3 linked regions of the Stegostoma tigrinum genome follow. The protein of the gene in region 2 purifies or fractionates together with the protein of the main gene of each other region. This does not show direct contact. Links are inferred from orthologs where the notes say so. Each region holds a gene or a part of one and is shown on either strand. Other genes may lie near its edges. The genes, in order: pdik1l, CTD small phosphatase-like protein 2 and stk35.

What was found.
Region 1: the proteins of CTD small phosphatase-like protein 2 (region 2) and pdik1l purify together in Homo sapiens (affinity purification with mass spectrometry; 4 studies listed by BioGRID and IntAct, counting the BioPlex papers as one, with this or other methods). This does not show direct contact. The link is inferred for Stegostoma tigrinum from reciprocal best matches to the Homo sapiens genes CTDSPL2 and PDIK1L.
Region 3: the proteins of CTD small phosphatase-like protein 2 (region 2) and stk35 purify together in Homo sapiens (affinity purification with mass spectrometry; 3 studies listed by BioGRID and IntAct, counting the BioPlex papers as one, with this or other methods). This does not show direct contact. The link is inferred for Stegostoma tigrinum from reciprocal best matches to the Homo sapiens genes CTDSPL2 and STK35.

What each region holds. Positions count from the first base shown.
Region 1 is NC_081377.1:29,406,875-29,414,957, forward strand, and holds the start of pdik1l (serine/threonine-protein kinase pdik1l), read right to left. Parts: upstream 3,102-8,083; 5' UTR 2,995-3,101; exon of another isoform or gene 2,988-2,994; intron 2,966-2,987; exon of another isoform or gene 2,573-2,965; intron 1-2,572.
Region 2 is NC_081386.1:33,606,629-33,614,155, forward strand, and holds the start of CTD small phosphatase-like protein 2, read right to left. Parts: upstream 3,105-7,527; 5' UTR 3,027-3,104; intron 1-3,026. UniProt on the Homo sapiens protein: Probable phosphatase.
Region 3 is NC_081372.1:35,991,895-35,998,962, forward strand, and holds the start of stk35 (serine/threonine-protein kinase 35), read left to right. Parts: upstream 1-3,970; 5' UTR 3,971-4,430; coding exon 4,431-5,537; 3' UTR 5,538-5,571; intron 5,572-7,068.

The sequences.
Region 1 (8,083 bases), on a different chromosome or scaffold from region 2:
AGAATTATAATAGTTTGCTCCTTAAAACCTCAATGCATTATGAAGCAGGGGTAAGAAATCACTGAAGCCAACGAACATGTTCATTCTTAGTTCTAGCTTATTTGAGGTACCAAATTATTACCTCACCCTACTAAATTCAAATCTTTCAAAATAACTCAGTTTAAAATGATTACAAGAGTTGAAAAACATGTAAATAAAAGTGGTCAGTTAGCTCAATTGGTTGAACAGTTGTTTTGTGATGCAGAGGGAGGCCAACAGCATGATGTCAATTGCCACACCAGCTGAGGTTTGCCATGAAGGGCACAGCTTCTCAACCTCACGAGCATAGTGACCCTCCAGTTTAGTCATAGCTCTCTAGTGGGACAGCAGCCCTATGGCCTGGTAGGACTACAGCAACTTTACCATTAAAGGAATTGTGAAGATGTCTTCAGGTCTGCCAAGGTGTTCAATTAAAAAAAAAAGTTGACCTTGGAGGAAGTATCATGGAGCCATGTACAACCACAATCAGCGATTTCCACAAAGGAGTGAAACTTAATTTGAGCAAATATGGATCCAAGAGCCAATTCCCAAAGATTAAGTGAGACAACAGTAATTTCCTTCAGCATCAAGATGGCATTTGATGCTGAGTGACCAAATGGCATTAAGGAATCCTAGCAATATTGAATCGAAAGAAAGCTCTTCGCTGGCTGGAGTCATACCAAGTACAAAAGGCTATGCTTGTGGTTATTACAGCGCAAGCACCTCAGTTCCAACTCACAGCTATTTGAAGTTAGGACCGACAATCTTCAACTGCAACACTGCCTCCAGTAAAATTTCAGAAATGTAAAGGCTCACTGATTGAACAGAGATTAGGAATAAACCATTTGGTTCTTTAAGCTTACTCTGACATTCAATAAGGTCAGGGCTGATCTGCTGTTGTCTCAACAACTTCCTGTCTTTTCCCTGTTGACTGCATCGTCCATTGAAAACCTAATTTGACCAGGTAATTTCAAAAACGTTTGAGAACATTTGTTGCTTGGGTTGTGGAAGTAATTGCAGTCTTGCGTGCTGAGCTGGTGTGTCTGAATGCACACGTTTCATCACCCTGCTAGGTAGCATTCAGTGAACCTCTGGTGAAATGCTGGTGTTCTGCGCACTTGTTCTTTACGTACCTCGGTTTGCTGTGGTGGTTGGCACCACTGACGGTTCTGTTTTTCCCATGGTTTGTTTCTCAGGTCCAGTTCAACGTGTTTGTTGAGGGAGTTCTGGTTGGATTGCCAGGCCTCCAGCAATTCTCTGGCACGTCTGTTTGTCCTCTTGACAATCAACAGCATTCCCATCAGAATTCCCACTGCTTCTAGAGGGTTAGTAGTGATTGAAAGTTGAATTGGATCAGCCACGTAAATATTGTGGCTACAAGCAAGCTAAGCTGTGAGCTTGCAGAATTGCACACAATTGGCATGGCAATGTCATTCGCAGCACTGACTTCCAATTCTGAAGAAAAATGGTGGGAATGCTGGCTACAAGTGCAGCTCAGATGGGAATTCAGCAGTGAATGACTGACCTCCCAACTTCCCAAGGCTACCACAGCTTAAAAAGTCACAACATCAGTCGTGTAACAGAATGTCACGCTGCACTTATTTAAATGGCACTCATCCAAACAAGATGGGAGGTCAATCCAATATAGTAGATAGAGCAACCTCCTTACTCCCTCCTTTACCTGCAGATGGACCATCTACAAAAGTAGTTCAACTCACCCAAGCTCCTTCTTCAAAAGTAGCTTACAACCAAAGTTCCACACACAGAAAAAGGGTCAGACTATTGGAACATCACATCCTCAATTTATTTCCAAGTCACACAATCCCAATTTAGAACAATATTTCCTTTCCTTTCCTTTATTACCTCTCAATTAACAGCCTAGAACTCATTTGCTAAAAGCTCTATCAGTGTACCAAGACAATAAGATCTACAGCAACTTAACACCTTTTCACATGAGCAATATTGGTTATGTTAGTGACATGTCCATCAGTGAACAAATATTAAAAAACAGTAGAGACAACAATTAGTGGTTACAGTTGTTACATGGCAGCAAAAGCCCAGTTGACAACTGTAAAGGAGGGGTTCCTGCACTGCAACTGGTAGACCTCTCATCTCAACAGAAAAGTTCAGGATTCACAATACCACTCCAGATAGTGGAGCAAACAATCTAAGATGGCATCAACAGAGTGCAACACTGTCAGAAATGCCAATTCAAATTAACATAAACACAGCACATCCATCTGCTAGCGGACAATCCTCTAGTGCTAGCCAAAAGAGGAAAGTTGTCAAATGCAATGCCCCCCTCATCTCTCTATGGTCATTCATTTCACTGTAGTACACGGGACCTGGTTACCATGTTAGACAATTACTTAATTTCAGAAGTTCCTTATTCACGGTAAAGTCATTTGAGGCATCACGAGTTGGCACAAATTTAAGGTGTAACAGCACTTAGGAAATCTGCTTATTTCTAATCGCTCAAGAAAACTGCGGGAGGTGTGGTGGGGGTTCAATGGAGGATGAAGTGCAAGGTATTATGTAGGGAGCAATAACATACATGGAGAAAAGTATGGCCTGGCCTGGACCTCCTCCCCAGCCTGCTTTTCCTTCAATGGAGCCGTTCCTGTAATGCGCCTGCGGATAGAAATGCAGGCAGAGGCTCACCAACTACCTCGAATCCACTTGGGCCTTAATCAGGGATTGCAGTTTTGAGTAACTGTGCATCAGTAACAGAGGAAGAGCGCTTGCAAGCCGCACCGAGAGTTCAATACCTCCTCCCCCACCGCCAGGGATTCACATCAGGGAACGAGCGGCCTGTGAAAGGAGGGAGATTGCGGAGCAGCAGGCAGCTCATGCTGTCTGTCTGCCGTTACAACGCTCGCCGGTTATTAATATTCATTCGTTCATTCATTCATTCATTCATTCGTGGGTGTCACAGCTCGGTAAATGGACACGTGTGTCTTTTATTTTACTTTCTACCTCAGTCGGTTGGTGCTCGCTGCTCTCCCGCTCTGCTCTCGGCCATTGCTTCTGTGGTCTCACTCCCGCGTTCCCGCTCGCTCACGCCAGCCGCCAATGCGCGAGCTCCGGCTTCAAATAACTGCCACTCACGCACGTGCTCCCGCCCCATGCCGCGCCCCGCCCCCTCCAACCTTTGATCCAATCGGAAGCCTCATCATCCACCCTCTTGTCAGTCACACTGCCGCCAGGCGCCCCTCCGGAACGTCCCTGCCCACATGGCCAGGGCACCTTCGCCTGATTCGACCCTCGTGTCCTAGGCTCCGCCCACCCGCTTTTACTGTTATTAGGCAGGTTCAGTCACTCATTGCATTCCCCGCAGATGTGATTTGTGACTCTGGTAGGGGGTGGTGAGCTGTACAAGCTCCGCACTGCACCGACCCTGTGATTGACGTTCCCGCCTCCCCAAGAAGCCCCGCCCCTCCTCTCCCGCATTTGCGCGAAGACAAATTTTCAAATCTGGTGCAACTTGAGGATGCAGTGCGGATGACTTAGTTTCGTTATACAGTCATAGAGCACTACAGCATGATAACAGGGTCTTCGGCTGTACTTGGTCCATGCTGACCATAGTGCCTGTCCAGATAGTTCGAATTGCCCGCATTTGGTCCATATCCCTCTAAACCTTTCCCATCCATAAAACTGCACAGCATAGTACTGGCCCTTTGGCCCATGATGTTGTCCTGAACTACTACCCTAATCCTAAAAGGTCTATCTAACCTCTATCCCAACTTATGCTATCATCCACATGCCTATCTAATAGCCATTTAAATGCTCTTAACAAGGCCAACTCCATTACCCTCTCCAGCAATGCATTCCACACCCCGACTGCTCTGAATGAAGCGCCTACCTCTGGCGTCTCCCCAATATCTACCTCCACTCACATTAAAACTATGCCCCCTCATAACAGCTACCTCCACCCTAGGAAAAAGTCTCTGGCTGTCTATTTTATCTCTGATCATTTTGTACACTTCTATCAAGTCAAAATCCATGCACCTAGCCACATGTTTTGTAAATGTTCCTATTGTACCTGCCTCAACCATTCACTCTGTGAAGAAGTTTCCTCAGTTCCCACTGCGAAAGTAAGCTGTTTAACTTTTTAATGAAAAAAAACAAAGCAAATTTTAAAAAAATCCCAAGGTAAATTGAGGGGTTGCATCATTTCATTAATAGTAATAACAAGTATTGTTAAAACTAGAGTCAACAGAGAAATAGAGCTTTGACCAAAATAAACAAAGAACTGCGGATGCTGGAAATCATAAACAAACGAAGGTTTGGCAGCATCTATGAAACCAGAAATTAAAGTTAACATTTCAGGGCCAATGACCCTTCTTCACAATCAGTTCTGCTTTTATTTTATATCACTGAAAAATGCCCTTCAGCCCATTAAGAACATAGAACAGTACAGCACAGAACAGGCCCTTCAGCCCACGATGTTGTGCCGACCATTGTGTCTAAGCATCCATCTGTTCGAATTTCATTTTTCCAGCACTTCCACCATTGCCTTGTAGATCATGTTTCAAGTTTGCATCCAAATTCTACTTAAATGTCTTCATGGATCCTGCCTCCACCACTCTTTCAAGCAGTGAGATCTGAATACCCACCACCCCCGTTGAAGAATTGTTTCCTGAAATCCCATCTAAACCCCCTGGTCCTTACCATACCTGGTTACTGGCTTGTCTATTAAAGAAAAAGGTTTCTCCCTATCAATAACCCTCATAATTTTGAACACTTCCATCAGATCATCCCTCCGCCTTTTCTGCTCTAAGGAAAAGCAAACCTAGCTGAATAGCCTGCCTTCATTGATGAATTGTTACAACTCAAGCAACATCTTGGTGAATCTCTTCCAAACCAGCGTTCCCTCTAATATTTTTTCCTTGGAGGTCTGTGCACATGACAACTACCGCCAAAAGCACTGATTGCCATGTTTGGCAATTCGGAGTTGCCATGCATGTGCACGTGCATGCATGAGCAACATAACTTAGAGGGAACATTGCTCTGCACCATGTCAAGTGCAATCACATCCTTCTTATTCTGTGGCAACCATAACTGTGCACAGTACTCCAAGTATGGCCTTAACACTACATACAGCTCCATCATAACCTCCTAAGTCCTTGTATTCAATGCCTCAACTAATGAAAGCACATATTCCATATGCCTCTTGACCAACGTCCAGCTGCGTCCAAGGATCTATAGATATGCACACAAAGGCCCATCTGATCTTCTATATTTCCCAGTCACCTACCACTCATCATGTACTTGTCAGTTCTTCTAAATTGTGGCATCTCACTTTTCTGGATTACGTTCTTTTTGCCACTTAACCAGCTCATCTATATCATCCTGTAGTCTAAGACATTCCTCCTTGCTATTTACCATCTGAGTCTGAAATTGAAATCTGACATATAAATAGAATAGTGGAAAAGTTTTAAGGTAAGTGCAAGTGACTGAGTGATAGGAAACAAGGCAGTGGTGAATGGTTATTGTCAGGCTGGAGGATGGTAGAAACTAGAGACAAAGTTGGAGGTCCTTAGGGGTCAGTTCTGAAATTACTGTTTTTCTTACACATGATGACCAAGACTTTTTGCAAGAATGCATTTTTGAGATGTGTAGATGACACAATATTTGGAAAATTTGAGGATAGTAATAGATATCAAGAACACATTAGCTGAAGGAAGGGCCAAGCATGAAGCAGATAACATTTAATGCAGTGGAATGGAACATAATATATTTCAGTAAGAAGAAAGAGAAACGTCAACAGAAACTAACAGATATAATTTTAAGGGAAGCACAGGAACAGGAACACAGAAAATATTTTGAGAATTCTAGACAAAGTAGATATAGAAAAATTTCTCCCATTGCAATGGGGTTTGGGAGCATTTGGGGTGAAGGTTAGATTCATTCTTGTTTGAGATGGCACTTGTAAAGTGCGATTGTTACTTGCCAATGTAAGCCCAAATCTGGATATTATATTATCTTGCTGCTTGTTGACATGGGTATCATAATTCTTTGAGAAGTCACTAAAAGAGCTAAATATTGTGCAATCACCAGTGAACATCCCTGCTTCTGAACTTATGATAGAGGAAAGTGATTGATAAGGCAGCTAAAGATGGTTGGGCCTAGGACAATATCCTGAGGAATTTCTGCAGAGATATCCTGGAGTCAAATTAACTCACCTCCAACAACCAGTTGGGGCTGGAATGGATAAGTGGGAAAGAATTTGCAGACAATAGTAAGAAAGAGTGGTAGAGTGCCTTTAATGTAGCAAAATTCTCAGAAAATACATCACTCTGGTGATCACTTTCCAGACATATTTTATGTGGAAAATGCCATTCACGATTTTTTCATAAAATTTGGGCTGATGCTAGTATTATAAAACTTTGGTATATGTGTTATATACCAGTATTACGCTGAATTTTAAGAAGTCCCGAAGTATTTAACAAAAATAATAATAATTTGTCTGCAATGAAGTAATTTCAAATGTTCTAATGTGTTACTGTAAGGTAGAATAACCCAATTTAATGATTCATGTTGCACAGCATGTGTCAAAGTAACAAGTTCCATCAACAAATTTGCCTTATAAAATCCCAGAAAATATTTTAATATCTACAGAAAATATTTTAATATCTACACTTTTCATTTTTATTGTTGACAAGTCATCATAATCTAAAAGAAATGCCACATCCTGTAAAGTAACCTGATTCAAATCACATTTCTTTGATAAAACTGTTGTAACATTTCACATGCAAATCTTTAAGTCAGACTTAAAATTTATTTAAAGAGATCTTCACATCCATTTCTAAGTAACGTGAAGACATGCTTTTCTTGGGAAGGGAAAATACCTTATGCCTTTAAACAACGAGTTAAATACAGATGCAATTTAACAGACATTAAGCTACACATTAAGGACTAAATGCCTTGCATTTATATTTCACCTTTCATAAAGACTGTTCAAAGGTACTTTAAAGTTAATGAAATATTACTTGAATAGGAACTACAGAATCCATTTTGTGCGCAGCAAGATCCTATGAGAAATAATGTAATCATGACGGATAATCTCATTTATCAATATCTAAAAATCAGATCATTTGATCATCATTGTATTGATATTTGTAAGAGCTCATTGTACGCAGATTGACTGCTCTTTTTCCTACAATGCAGAATTGGCCTTTATAGAGATAAGACTTTAGGCTTTAAGATCTGGATGTTGTCTTAGCCTTTTTTTTATTTTATCTGTTTTGTTTTAATTTTGGTTTTGTAACCAAGTTAGCACCACTTTTGTACACTTTTTGCTGTTCTGTGTTCCTATACTTGAGTACGCATGACAAACCTATCTGATTGGCTGCGAAGAGTTTTGGGACATCCAATCCTGATGAAAGGTGCTTGGTAAATTCAGGACTTTTTTCTAATGTTGGCATGATGTTACTTGAGGAATTTAGAACAAGAAACTAACAACAATTGATCTCAAGTTTCAGAATAATGCATGAAATTGCTTCCCTCAACCTAAAGAGGCAAATGCACACCCTAGGTGTGTCATCTCATTTGAAAGGCAGTACTCTGAACAGTGCATCACACCCTCTACATGAATATCCTACTCACTGAGCAACATTACTTCATCTGATTCAGGTCATTAAAACAAACCCCTTGCTTCATCCATGTAGAGAATGTGAAGTATGTATTTTAGTAAGGCCATGGCATTTTATGAAACATAAATTTATATGTACAAACTAACAACACCACGTTGAGTCGACAATATCACTGCTATATCTACTCTTCCTGTTTCTTATCAATGCGTAATAACCTTAACTTTTCAGTTATTGCCTGTGTTTACTAGGAAGCTTGAGTAATTAACTTTCAGCGCAGTGAGAGATTCTCATTAATTAAAACAAAAACAGAAAATATGTTACACCCACCAAAAATGGTGTGAGAGAAAAACCTTACAGTTGTTGGAGGTACACTCACTTGTTTGGGGTTGCGTAAATGAACATTATAATTTTACAGTATCCTACAGAGAGTGTCATTACATTTTTCCCATTGGCAGCTTAGATCTTGACTC
Region 2 (7,527 bases):
AACTCAATAGTCTAATCCTGCTTTCACTCCAACTGCTATATCTGGCTGCCTCTTGAATACATTCAACTACTTCCTGTGGTAATGAATTCTACAGGCTCATCACTCTTTTGGGTGAACAAGTATCTCCTCATCTCCATTCTCTGTCCATCCCAAATCCTCAGACTGTGACCCTTGTGCTGGACACGTCCATCAGGAACAGGCTCCCTGCATCTACCCTGTCCAGTCCCATTAAGATTTTAAAAGTGTCTATGACATCTCTTCTCCCACACCACCCCCCCAAACTCGCTCATCTGAATTCCAGCGAAAATAATCCTAATCTAGTCAATCTCCCCTCTTGTCAGTCCCACCATCCCCGGAATCAGCCTGGTAACCTTCACTGTAGTCCCTTGAGAGCAAGAGTGACTTCCTCAGAAAAGGAGACCAAAACTGCACACAACATTCTAAGTGTGGTCTTGCCAAGGCCCTGTATAACTGCAACAACACTTCCCTGCTCCTACACTCAACCTCTCGCTATGAAGGCAAACATACCATTTGCCTGCTTTACTGCCTGTTGCACCTGCATGCTTACCTGACTGGTGCACAAGAACATTCAGGTCCTATTGCACACTCTCCTCTCCCAATTTACAGCCATTCTGTAGATCTAAACAGAAGTAATAAATTATTCATGTGCTGTTTTCACTCAAGTTGTAAATCTGGGACATTCTCATTTCCCAACTTTGATCAATTCATTGACAAAGACAATTATATTTAAATAATTACAAGTCGTTATTCTCAAAATTGGCAGTCTACAAACCAGAATTGTCCAGAAACTGGGTATTTTTGAACGTGCATGGCATTTTTTTTTTGTTACTCAGTTGAAATTGACTTATCTGGATGATGCATAAATGTATTCGTTAGTTTGCTTGCTCACTAGTTTATTATGTTCCAAGTGACCCAATCTGAATTGGCCTGAACATCCACTGTCCAAAGCAGCAGAAATCCAAATCCAAGATCCAGTACAACCTCAAGGAAGTGTACTCTTGAAGGATCCAATAGATGCTTATTTCAACTGGTTTCATGTATAATTATTGAATCACAAACACGTAAGAGTTACAGATAAGTGTTACACTAACGTTATAGCTGAGCATCATACTTCTAGTAGCAATTCATACTTCAAGTGATCCACTTAAGGTGGAGTATGCAGTGTTTATACAATTAGATCATATTCTATGATACAGTGATGATATCACAAGCTCATCTTTAAAAAGTATACTGATGTACTGTGTCTCAAAATATACTCTGATTTTTCAGACTGAGAATAAGTAAGGAAATTATTGATTTCAGCAAGGCGTTCGATAAGGTTCCCCACAATAGGCTATTATACAAAATGCGGAGGAATGGGATTGTGGAAGATATAGCAGTTTGGATCGGAAATTGGCTTGCTGAAAGAAGACAGAGGGTGGTAGTTGATGGGAAATGTTCATCCTGGAGACAGTTACTAGTGGTGTACCGCAAGGGTCGGTGTTGGGTCCACTGTTGTTTGTCATTTTTATAAATGACCTGGATGAGGGCGTAGAAGGATGGGTTAGTAAATTTGCAGACGACACTAAGGTCGGTGGAGTTGTGGATAGTGACGGAGGATGCTGTCGGTTGCAGAGAGACATAGATAAGCTGCAGAGCTGGGCTGAGAGGTGGCAAATGGAGTTTAATGCAGACAAGTGTGAGGTGATGCACTTTGGTAGGAGTAACCGGAATGCAAAGTACAGGGCTAGTGGTAAGATTCTTAGTAGTGTAGATGAGCAGAGAGATCTCGGTGTCTTTGTACATAGATCCTTGAAAGTTGCCACCCAGTTGACAGGGCTGTTAAGAAGGCATACAGTGTTTTAGCTTTTATTAATAGAGGGATTGAGTTCCGGAACCAAGAGGTTATGGTGACGCTGTACAAAACTCTGGTGCGGCCGCACTTGGAGTATTGTGTACAATTCTGGTCACCGCATTATAAGGAGGACGTGGAAGCTTTGGAAAGGGTGCAGAGGTGATTTACTAGGATGTTGCCTGGTATGGAGGGAAGGTCTTACAAGGAAAGGCTGAGGGACTTGAGGCTGTTTTCATTAGAGAGGAGGAGATTGAGAGGTGACTTAATTGAAGCATATAAAATAATCAGAGGGTTAGATAGGGCGGATAGGGAGAGCCTTTTTCCTAGGATGGTGACGGGGAGCACGAGGGGGCATAGCTTTAAATTGAGGGGTAAAAGATATAGGACTGATGTCAGAGGTAGTTTCTTTACTCAGAGTAGTAAGGGAATGGAACGCTTTGCCTGCAACAGTAGTAGATTCGCTAACTTTAGGTACATTTAAGTCGTCATTGGATAAGCATATGGACGTACGTGGAATAGTGTAGGTTAGATGGGCTTGAGATCGGTATGACAGGTCGGCACAACATCGAGGGCCGAAGGGCCTGTACTGTGCTGTAATGTTCTATGTTCTATAAAAATTAAAAATAAAAATGCCTCGTAGAGTTTAACTGATACAGAAATATTCTGAACAACTAGCCACCAAGATAACTGTTGGGATTTAAATGAAGTACCAGGTTATATATTTGCATAAAGACAAAAAACAAATGGAATGATCAAAATAGTAATTAAAAATACAAACAGCTGGAAACATGCAAGCCCATCAGCAATTGGAAATAGACAGGTTAATGCTTCTTGTAAAGGTCCTTTCATTAGATATGACAAAAAAGCTCTGCTCAAACTTGCCTTGTTTTTGAATGTATTTTGTGTATTATTCTTATGAATAAGTGGAGTTCTACAGTAGTCACTGTGGTTGGGAAATATCTCAGACAGGTATGTTATGATTTCATATCATAAAATAGGTTATTTTTTTTAAAAACCTGATCATCATAGAGTTTGGCAATTACAGGACACATTTGTCAAATTCATTTTCTGTTGCTTCTTGGGTTATAATTAAAAATGACAATAACCTCAACAGTTCCATTTTACAGAAAAATATATCAAAGCTGATTGTTACACAATGCTCATGGCTCACCATATAGACTTGGGACTATAATCGCGATTCCTTCACCGTCGCTGGGTCAGAATCGTTGAACATCTGCCCTAATGCCATTGAGCGTCTACCTATACTCCAAATGGACTGCAGCAGTTCAAGAAGGCAGCTCATCGACAGTTTCTCAAGAGCAACTAGGGATGGGCAACAAGTGCTGGCCCAGCTCCTGTGAAAGCAGTTAAAAAAAGAACTGGATCTCAGAGGACAACAAGATCAATTATGGCTGTGATTACACACACTATCAAAAAAGGTATTATTCATTGCCTACATAAATGGAATAATCAACAATTAAGTCAGTTCCTTCAAGATATGAGAAGAATGGATAGAAAATCTTAAGAGAAGAACGATGGTTTGCACAGATTTTTAAAATGTATATTCACAGGCAACTTGTGAACATTTGCATACGTGCTAGAGTATAAAACTAATTGCAATTCTTCCAATATATATTCCCTCGACTACTGGTACACCATGGCAGCACGTGTAATCTACCTCTGAAAATCACAATCTCTACCACCTACAAGGACAAAAGATACAGGTGCACAGAAACAGCATCACACCCAAATCACCTTCCTAGCCACAATGCATCCTGATTTTCCCTTATTATCACTAAATCTTGGATCTGAGGTCCAGCCATGGCTTTACATAATTGTAAAGGAATTTCCACCACTTTTTATTAGAGCCTCTTTGAGATAAAAGCCAATATTAGACCTTTAAAAAATTGGTTTTGTACCTGTCCATCAGCCTTCAGTTTGTACACAAGCAAACAGTGAAATATTAAAAAGGGAAAACTTTTGGCAGAGTCCCACTAATACTGAATATTTAAATATTATAAAGTGGTTTGATTGAAACATCTTCAGGCAATATTGCTTAAGTGACAGCTGAAGGCCATATAAATATTAAATTTGCAGTTTATACTTTTGCAGTGCACACGGCTTAAATAAAATTTGTTCAAAACGTTACAATGCGCTTTAGAAACTGCAGTTTTTCTACTGGATTGATGCCAATGTTATATTAAAATATAATATTAAAAATCAGTACTCTCATCTCAGTTTGGTTAGAATAAAGATTTACTTCCATGCCATAACTCGCAAGATTTTAAAACAGATTCCAATAATTCCTCCAACGCTTCTTCACTTTTCAGTTCCATCACAATATAAACATTTCGGTAATAAGAAGTGCAGACAGACACACCAGAAATGGAAGGTTACAATTCCAGGGATGAACGTAAAAAAAGAGAGTAGAGAGTAGTATCTTTAAAAGTCAGGCACAAGTCACCAGTTCTTCAAAGATTTTCTCAAATCCAAAGTAGCTTAAAGTAACCTTAAAGCAAATTAACTGCCATCCAGCAGGAAAGAGCACTTTGCAGAAATTTGTACTTTAATGGCCTCAGTAGCTTTTCTGACAGTGTTTCACAACCTGAAGGCATGTGAATACACAACAAAAACAAGATCACAACATGCACCTAACACTCTAACAATGACAAATAATCTACGCGCTTTATAGGTAAATCTTATTCTTTTATAAACATCCTTGTTTTAAAACTGCTTTGTAACTGCATTATCAACATGAATATATCACAGTATTTGCACCTGATGTCATCAGTAAAACATACACCTGCCATTTCTTCCAGATTCAATATAGGTTGGTTGATGAATGGCCACCACTTAAGTAAATCTTTGGAACAATTTTATCTAGTCAGACTGCCCCATTAGTCAGCAAGTAAGTAGTGCTCTGACTGATACAATGATCTAGATTCTATTCAGACACTGTATACAGTTAGGTTATTCCAGCAGTAACAGTCAAAGCATCCAAGCTTAACAGGCAAGGCTAAAAGGGTGAAAATTCAGTCCAATCCAGTTACTATGCATCAATATTTAGTTGGTGTGCCATTAGCTGGTTTCAATTTAAGATTTACTGTCTTGTCTACTCAAGTATAGGGATACAAAAGGAGTGAAAAATGTACAATGCCGCCACACACGGCATCAACTTAGGTACAAAGGTACCTAGCTACAAGTAGTAACATTGAAAGACAAAGTTAAAAGTAAAGCCTTATCATTAGTCTTAGTATAAGCAGAAAAATAAAGAAATAAAGTTAACATTACAGTCCGTCCTAGTATTAAGTGGAAAAATAAAGTATTAAAGGTAAGCAGCACGTGAAGATTACCCACTGAGTGAGCTATCAGAGGGTGGCACTATAATGGCATCATGTCAAACAACCTCTTCAGGAGTACAATAAAATCATCACATCTACTTGTTAAATTTGTTTTTAGAATGTTGAGTACCACTGGAAAGACCAGCAATTATTACCCATCCAAACTGCCTCGAGAAAGTGGTAGTGAACTACATTCTTGACTTATTAAGTTCCTAAGATTCAGGTGCACTCTCAGTTCTGTTGGAAAGGAAGCTCCATGATTTTGACCCACTGACAGTGAAGGACTATTGATACAGCTGCAAGATAGGATAATGGTTAGACTGGAGGGCTACATGTGTTCTCATGCTTTTGTTCTCCTTGTTCTTCTGGGCGGTAAAGCAACACAGGTTTGGAAGATGCTGTCGGGGAAGATTAATAAGTTGCTACAGCACATATATGGTACACACTGCTACACACGTCCTTATTCCTCAAGTTTCAAAAGCTGCCCAATTGACAGCACACTCCTAAAATAGGAAGTTATGGGTTCAAGCCCCACTCCATTGTCTTAGCACAGAGCCTTAGGCTGATACTTCTGTGTTTTGAAGGAGGCTGCACTGCTGAAGGTGCTATTTTTTTGAATGAGATGTTTAAAGTAAGGTCGTCTGTCCTCTCAGGTGGATATAAAGATTTTGATTATACTATTCTGCAGAATAGCAAGGGAATTATTCTGAACATCTTGGCAATTATTTATCCCTCAAATCAGCAATACAGTGCTGCAATGGGAGTTTGCTGCCTATAAAAGGGCAGCCAGTGGCTACACTTAATAAGTAAAATGTTTGGGCACTTTGAGGTTATGAAGGACACTACTGAAATGAAAGACTTTCCTCCCTTTTACTTCTGCCTTTCCTCTCACACTATTGCCCTGATTTTGCTCTTGGTTAAAACCAGGAACAAAACAAAGATGCTGGAAAAGCTCTCAGCAGGTCTGGCAGCATCTGTGAAGGAAAAAACAGAGTTAATGCTTTGGGTCTGGCGACCTTTCCGCAGAACTGATGGTGGCTGGGAAAACATCAGTTTATGTGCAGAAAACAGGGAAGTGGGTCAGGTAGGGAGTAAATGATAGGTTTTCCCAGCCACCATTAGTTCTGAGTAAGGGTCACTGGACCCGAAATGCTTTTTTCCTTCACAGATGCTGCCAGACCTGCTGAGCTTTTTCAGCAACTTTGTTTTTATTCTTGATTTACAGCATCCACAGTTCGTTTGGTTTTTATCTTGGTCAAAACCAGTTGTAGCTATAAAGGTTTCCAGTTCCAATGGGAGGTCACTGGTCAGTCATAAAGTCATACAACATGGAAACAGATCCTTTGGTCCAACTCCTCTGTGCCAAACACACATCCCAATCTGACCGAATCCTATTTGCCAGCATTTAGCCCATTTCCCCCTAAATCCTTCCTATTCATATTCTCATCCAGATGCCTTTTAAACATTGTAATTGTTCCCACCTCGGCCACTTCTTCTGGCAGCTTATTATGTACACTCACCACCCACTGCATGAAAATCATGGCCCCTCAGGTCCTTTTAAATCTTTCCCCTCTCACCTTAAACCTATGATCTCTAGTTTTCGACTCCCCCACTCGAGGAAAAAGACTTCAGCTATTCACCCTATCCATGCCCCTCATGATTTTATAAATCTCCATAAGGTCACCCCTCAGCCTCTGACACTCCAGGGGAAAAAAACCTCAACCTATTCAGCCTCTCCAGCGTGTCTCTATAACTCAAAACCCCCAGTCCTGGCGACATCCTTGTAAATTTTTTCCACACACTCTCAAGTTAAACAACTTCATTCCTATAAAAGGGCAGCTGTACATAGTATTCAAAAAGTGACCTCACCAATGTCCTATACAGCCACAACTCTTACACTCAATATTCTGACCAATGAAGGCAAGTATGCCAAACACCTCCTTCAGCACCCTGTTTACCTGCAACTCCACTTTCAAGGAACTATGTACCTGTACTCCTAGGTCTTTTTGTTCAGCAACACTGACCAGGGCCCTACTATTAACTACCATTAAGTCCTCCCCTGGGATTGCCTAACCTAAATGCAAAGTTCACATTTATCTAAATTAAACTACATTGCCACTCCTCAGCCCATTTTCCCATCTGATCAAGGTCCTGTTGTATTCTGAGATAATCATCTTCACTGTCCTGTATATCACAAATCTTTGTGTCATCTGCAAACTCACTAACCATACCTTCCATACTCACATCCAAATTTATCATATAAATTACAAAAAGCAATAGATCCAGCACTGTGCCTTGTGGCACACTGCTGGTCACAGGCCTCTAATCTGA
Region 3 (7,068 bases), on a different chromosome or scaffold from region 2:
CTCCTTTAGGAAGTAACATCTGAAACATTAAAAACATTAAAAACCTGTAGTTTTGTAGGTGACTGCTACAAATGGAAACCTGTAAGATCAATAACCTGAATTCATTACAGCCTAAATTATTAGACAGACATCATAAACTGACTCTGAAAATCAATCCCAATTGTTTTTTTAAACTGCATTTATAATAGAATATTGAATTATATCCATCTCTTACATGAAATATATAACATTCCATATTGACTATTACAGATTAGATAATACTGATTTATGGATATTTAATCACTAAAATAGTTTTTCAACAATGTGACACTTCTAAATCAATACAGCACTCACGGCAGTTTTTTGTAAATAAAGCTCAAACTTGTTTATATCATTTTAATTTGGTTCTTTCAGATTATTTATCAGTCAATGAAAAGAAGATAATTACTTTGTTGAATGGGGTGAGCATCATCAAATTAATATGACCATCTAATTTTGATCTGAATTTCAAATGTCTGCTTTGAAACTTCAGAATATAAATTCTGCATTTTGATATCTTTTGATTACTGACATTTGTATTTGTAACATTGGAATGCCAGAGTACTCAATGACTGTACTTAAGTCCATGGTAAGATACAGCTGTATAGGAAGCAGAACAAAGGAAAAGTCTTTAGCTACATTTGTATCGCCAATTTGTATGGATGTAGGATGGCTTCAGTTATGCCTTGATGCAACAGTGGTGGTTTAACTCTGCAATGATCAATCAGTGTCCATCTAGAAAATGTTTAAAATAAATGGTGTGAAACGCTACCCCGGAGGCAGAATGTGGGCTGTAATTCCAGTGCTGCATAAAGCTAGTGTTTAAAATGCCCAAGCAATCTATTTTATTTCTAGGGCAGTTTATCAGTTGACAGTTTTCCCATTTAATATTCTGATATAATAAATATTCTGAAAGTCTACATTTGACCCTTTTTGAGAAATTAGATTCTGGGGAGCAAGTAAGTACAAGATATGGCCTAAGAGCTATTATAGCCATTTGATTCAGAAAGCAAGTGAGGGATTTTTGAAATATTTTCTGTACCATTTTTTTTGAAAAAGATGTTGAATTGAACTTGACGCCAATACCAAAAAAAATTAAATACAGCAATACTAGTACTATACATCTAACTATCCATTCAATGCTTGTTTTAGAAAACTGTGATTAGATGGCATTTATCACTGCTCTTACCCTTTACTTATAAGAGGGCTCACTGCTCTTATTAACATAATTTCTTACAGTATGAACTGGAATCCAGCTAGGTATAGTTGTTACAAAGGATCTGCAAGCAAATGGCTGATTGAAAATTCTTTCAATGGCCATACTTAAATAATCTTAAATTGCAACTATATTATTTGAGACAGATCATGTTTTTACACTTACTCCTCCATGTGATATTTTCATCAGCGTATTTGTATTCTATCATGCAATATTTAAAATCCTGGCATTGTAATAATATCCTCTCCATCACCAAGACTACTGCATCCAACATATTGCCAATCTCCACCACTGCCTCAGCTTGGCTGCTGCTGAAATCCTCATCCATTCCATTGATATCTCTAGACTAATCTTTTCCAATGCTCTCCTAGCCAGCTTCTAACCTTGCACACTTTGTTAACTGGAGCCCATCTACAGCTCTGCTGCCATTATGCATCTGGTTGCTGATCTAAACTAGTGTCTGGTCCAGAAATGTCTTGATTTTAACATTTTCATCCTTGTTCTCAAATATCCTTTGTTGACTGTCTTCTCCCCTCCTTATCTATATTATGCCATCCAGTTAGAAAATCCTGCAGATGTTCCCCTGACTTTGTCAAATTCTTTTCAAAGCATGTCTAAGGGTCTTGGGCCATTTCAGGCACATTAAAAGTGTTAGATAAATTCACATTACCAATACATTTATGAATTTTAAGTACAATATTATTGATGAACAGCAATAACTTTTCAAAATTACTTTCACAAAAATAAATGCAGAGTTCAGTTCCTGCTACTCTATCAGTTCTTGACTGTGACAATGTCCCTTCCTTAGATTGATATTGCACCAGTGGGCATGCAGTATGTTCTGTAAATTCCATCTGTTACTCATTGCAGTTATGTTTTTCAGTGATCTTTCCAATAACCTTTTTCCTCTGTAATGTTGGATATGCTTTAAAGTTCCAAAGGAGATGAAGGAGGAAATTTGTGAGGCTATGCCTAGAGTTATGAATGTGTCATTAAAAAAAACTGGTAACTGGAACGGTTCCTAAACATTAGAAAAATTGTAACACGCAATAATAGGACCGGTATTTAAGAAAAGCCTTTTGACTCTTTAAACCACTTCCTGTTCTTGAATTCTCTTCCTTGCATCTCATTAGATCTTAGATAACATCCTTTTGCTGCAGTATAACCAGTTTACTGTATGGTGTAACTTGATATTCTTGGATTTCCTCCTCTGGACATATCTGCAGTAGAGTAAGATGTTCACTCAATCTCATTGTAACTTTGACATATTTTTCAGGATAAATGTTGCTTTTGTCATGCAGTGCATGCTTGTGGTGAGATTCCCAAAGGATGGGATGACAACAGATATTCCAACACTACAACAAAGATAAATTAAGTGATAACTACGGCAAAACTGTGAATGCTGCTAGCTCCTGAAGATATCTGTCACTTACTTGGAAGAGACAAAGAGGAATGGACATAGTCTCTGCTGTGACATACATAAGTTAAAGTAGCAAACATGGCTGCTTAGCTCTCTAGGCTGGGACGGAAGCATCTACTATGCCCACTCCCATGATGCGAGGCTAGCACCATCAACACCCTGGGACATCCACCAGATAGTTCAAAGATGGTTGGGTAAAGGTAAAATGGGTCAGTTTCCACAATATGCAACAACTCAGAGATACTCATGGACCTCTGGAATCTTCCTCCCATCCCCTTCCTTATGACTCCACCCCCAACAGTCCCCATTAACAACTATCCACCCTCCTAGCCAGATTGTTATTAACTCCTTTGTCTATCCAACTGCTCTTTGCTCTCTTTGGGTTCTATCCCCACCTATCGTCTACTCCTTACCCCTTGCTCCTCTCTGTCTTCTGCAAATGAACTGACATTTTCTTAGCTACGATCAGTTCTGAAAAAGGGTAACCGGACCTGAAATGTTAACCTTGATTTTTCTTCATAGATGTGGCCAGACCTGCTGGCCACAAACAGCGACCTCTGTTTCTGTTCCAGTTTCCAGGCTGCGTCTCAGTGTTTTGCATCTGCATGTCACAAGCAGGGAAGGATGTCTGGGGATGATCTGAACAGGATGGGAGGGAGGAAAAATCGAGACCAAAACTAGTCTGTACCCTTTCTATGACTACCAGTCATTAATTGGGTCAAAACAGTGGGGTAAATGATGCGTCTATGGTATTATTCATAGTAATACCGCAGACACATCATTTACCCCACTGTTTTGATCCAATTAATGAATATATGGTCAATTTACTAGCTTTCAAACGACATTCAGCAGAAACTGGAAATATTGAGGACAAAATCTATAACATCCCTTCAATTTCATCTGTAACAAATTGCATTACTTGGTATACAGTTTCTTGAGACTGCACTAAGGTGAATAGCCCGTATAAGACTTCGTATGACAGAGCAGCCTGGACACACTGCAGCCTGCAGAGACTGCATTACACGGTACGTTGTCTGCACGAACTGCTGTACATTAATTAAGCGCACCGCCTGCACAGATTGCGTAATACATAACAGAGGCCTGAGCAGACTGCGATGCATAATGAAAAGTACAGCCTGCACAGGCATTGCATGGCATGACAGGGCTGCCTGTACAGACTGAGGTACATTGCAAAGACCGCGCAGACACTGCATGGCAATGACAAGCCAACTCCGTGAACCACAGTGCGGTAGATCGAGTAGACACGCAACTACGCGACAGGAAAGAGGCATGAAGGCAGCTCGGGACGTGCGCATGCGCTCGGCAAGGGCACGTGAGCACGGGGCCGGCCGTGGACTGGCCGAAAGGAAGCGTTGGGGGGAGAAGGCCCCAAACTCCCAGCAATGAATGAGTGCGCGAGCCGGCGGAGGCCCGCTACAACCAGGCGGCTCAGTTTGTCCGGCTCGGTGAGCGGCTGTGTGCTCTGATCCCGAGGAGGGCGGAAGGCTGGATGTTACCCTGGTGGAGGAGGAGAGGCCGGCAGTGAGTGAGTGCCGGGTCCTGTTCCTCTTCCCTTCTCTTTACCCCCAACCCCCCCCCTCTCCCGGGAGTGGGGCCGGGAGCTGCGGCTGCGCTGGAGCTGGAGCTCGAGCCGAGTGAAGCGGGGGCCCCGAGGCCGAGGCGGAGGCCCTGGGGGCAGAGACAGAGAGCCAGGCCCCGGCCTCTGTCGCTCAGTGATGTGGAGTGCGAGAGCCTCCCCTCAGCCAGCTGCCCACCATGGAAACTCACGACCTGCCGAGAGAAGGCACCGACTGTGAGGAGCGCCCGGCGCTGAGCGGCGGCACCACCACCACCAGTACGAACAGCCCGAGGCTCCCGGGCCTGCTGTGGGAGCCCAAGTACAGCCTGGTGCAGGAGGTGGGCCGCGGCAGTTACGGCGTGGTGTACGAGGCGGTGGTGAGGAAGAGCGGCGCCCGGGTGGCCATCAAGAAGATCCGCTGCGACGCCCCGGAGAACGTGGAGCTGGCCCTGTCCGAGTTCTGGGCTCTGACCAGCCTCAAACGGCAGCATGAGAATGTGATCCAGTTCGAGGAGTGTGTGCTGCAACGGAATGGCATGGCCCAGAAGATGAGCCACGGCAACAAGCGCTCCGAGTTCTACCTGCGCCTGGTCGAGACCTCGCTGAAGGGTGAGCGGATCCTGGGCGCCGGCGAGCCCTGCTACCTCTGGTTCGTCATGGAGTTCTGCAACGGCGGTGACCTGAACCAGTACGTGCTGTCCCGGAGGCCCGACTCGGCCGTCAACACCAGCTTCATGCTGCAGCTGACCAGCGCCATCGCCTTCCTGCATAAGAACCACATCGTCCACCGCGACCTGAAACCCGACAACATCCTCATCTCCGAGAAGTCGGGAGTCCCCATTCTCAAAGTGGCCGATTTCGGCCTCAGCAAAGTTTGTGTGGTGGGCGGAGGAGCAGCCACTAACAAAAACGTGAATGTGAACAAGTGCTGGTTGTCCTCCGCCTGTGGCTCTGACTTTTACATGGCTCCAGAGGTCTGGGAAGGACACTATACGGCCAAGGCTGACATTTTCGCTCTGGGGATCATCATATGGGCCATGATTGAACGAATAACATTTATTGATGCTGAGACTAAGAAAGAACTGCTTGGGACCTATGTTAGACAGGGCAGTGAGATTGTACCTGTAGGGGAGGCATTGCTAGAAAACCCAAAGATGGAACTACATATCCCGCAGAAAAGGAGGACTTTTATGTCTGAAGGGATCAAACAGCTTATTAAAGACATGTTGGCTGCTAATCCACAGGATCGTCCCGACGCATTTGAGTTAGAAACTAGGATGGACCAGGTCACTTGTGCTGCATAAATTATCTATTATAAAGGGGATACTCTTGTAAAAGGTATACAGACAGTAAGCAAAATATTGATATTGTGGATTCTTGGTCATATGTAATTCTATATACCACACTTGCCTTATTTAGTGTATATAGCTTCTCCTTGATTGTAAAGCATACAGTGTCAGAACGTACATGTTTTGAAAGTGTGGTCTTTTTCAAACGCTTTAACTCTGGCCCCATTTTGATTTTAATTTGCCCAATTTAAGGACATTTTTTAATTATCAAGAAAACAACCTAACATTTGCTTTGTTCGTCGGAAGAGGAAGGTGGGCATTTTTCTTAGAAAGCAACCAAACTCTGGGATGATTCTCTTGCAGCACAAACAATAGTTGATGTGTAGAAGAACCCAAAAAAGCCAGTGTACCCATTAAGTGTACTGTGTTCTTTATGTCTGGTTGGGTACTGAGAAATAATGCTAGAAAATCAAGAAGTCAAGGCAGGAGCAAATCAAATTGGTGTTAGAAATATGCTGCAATTCTCTTGGCAGTGACTCACTCAAGCCGTTCCCCACTTGCACTTCAATTAGGTCCTAGTCTTTCTCAAATACCCTAGGGTTTGGAATGTGCTAAACTATTACTTCCAATCACATTATTTGCAAATAGATGCCAGACTAGTAATGTCACTTAGACCATAATGAACATTTTACCAGCAAACAATTAAAGTTTATACATGTTATTCTGAGATTGGTGCATTGTGAATCAAATGTTCAATTAAGAGTAGAATTGAAAATATTGGATATCACTTGGCTGGTCAGGTAGTGACTGGGGAAAAGGTGACTTTTAATATTGACACAGTTCCTCAGTTGTTATGGATGATTGTTTTGCATGTAACTACTGGTCTGTAAGCTAATATAGGACGTAGTGGTTTTGATTCCTTTTGTTTTCAAACATAATGCTAATAGACGTCTTGAGAAGTTTGTGCATTGCTTTCTCACTTGGTATCAAGAAAAGCTGCTTAAATCCCCGCCACTGATGCAGTGTTCCATATTATTATCAATAAATAACAACGTATTTTAGAACTCCCTGCTCTAATTAGATACTGTCAAATTGATAACTATGCAACCTTTCTTCTGCATTTAAATTATTCTCATAATTTGGAATAGCAAATAGTTTTTCCCTGTCCTGGCTAAATGTCTTAATATTTGTGTTCTGTTGTGTTTCTGTTGCTGTTCTTAACTACTTCAGACCCACGAACTTTCCGACAAAGTAGACACAGCATTTTAATTGTTTTACGAAGATGTTTTAAGAATGTGACCCACAGTTGAAATGGAGGATTTTTTCAGGGGCATTGTGCTAAATGATAGCTTCATGCATTAGAACAATAAGCTCAGTTTTCCTCAGAACTTTGGAGTATTGTTTAGCCTGTTTCTGTTTTGGTGTATTTGAGAACTTGTGTACATTCTCTATTTAACTCAATTTTAATTTGAGGGTGGGGTGAGATTAAAAGGTGGCCGAAGCAGAATAACACAGCAAATATTGCCAATATTGAATGCAGGCAATA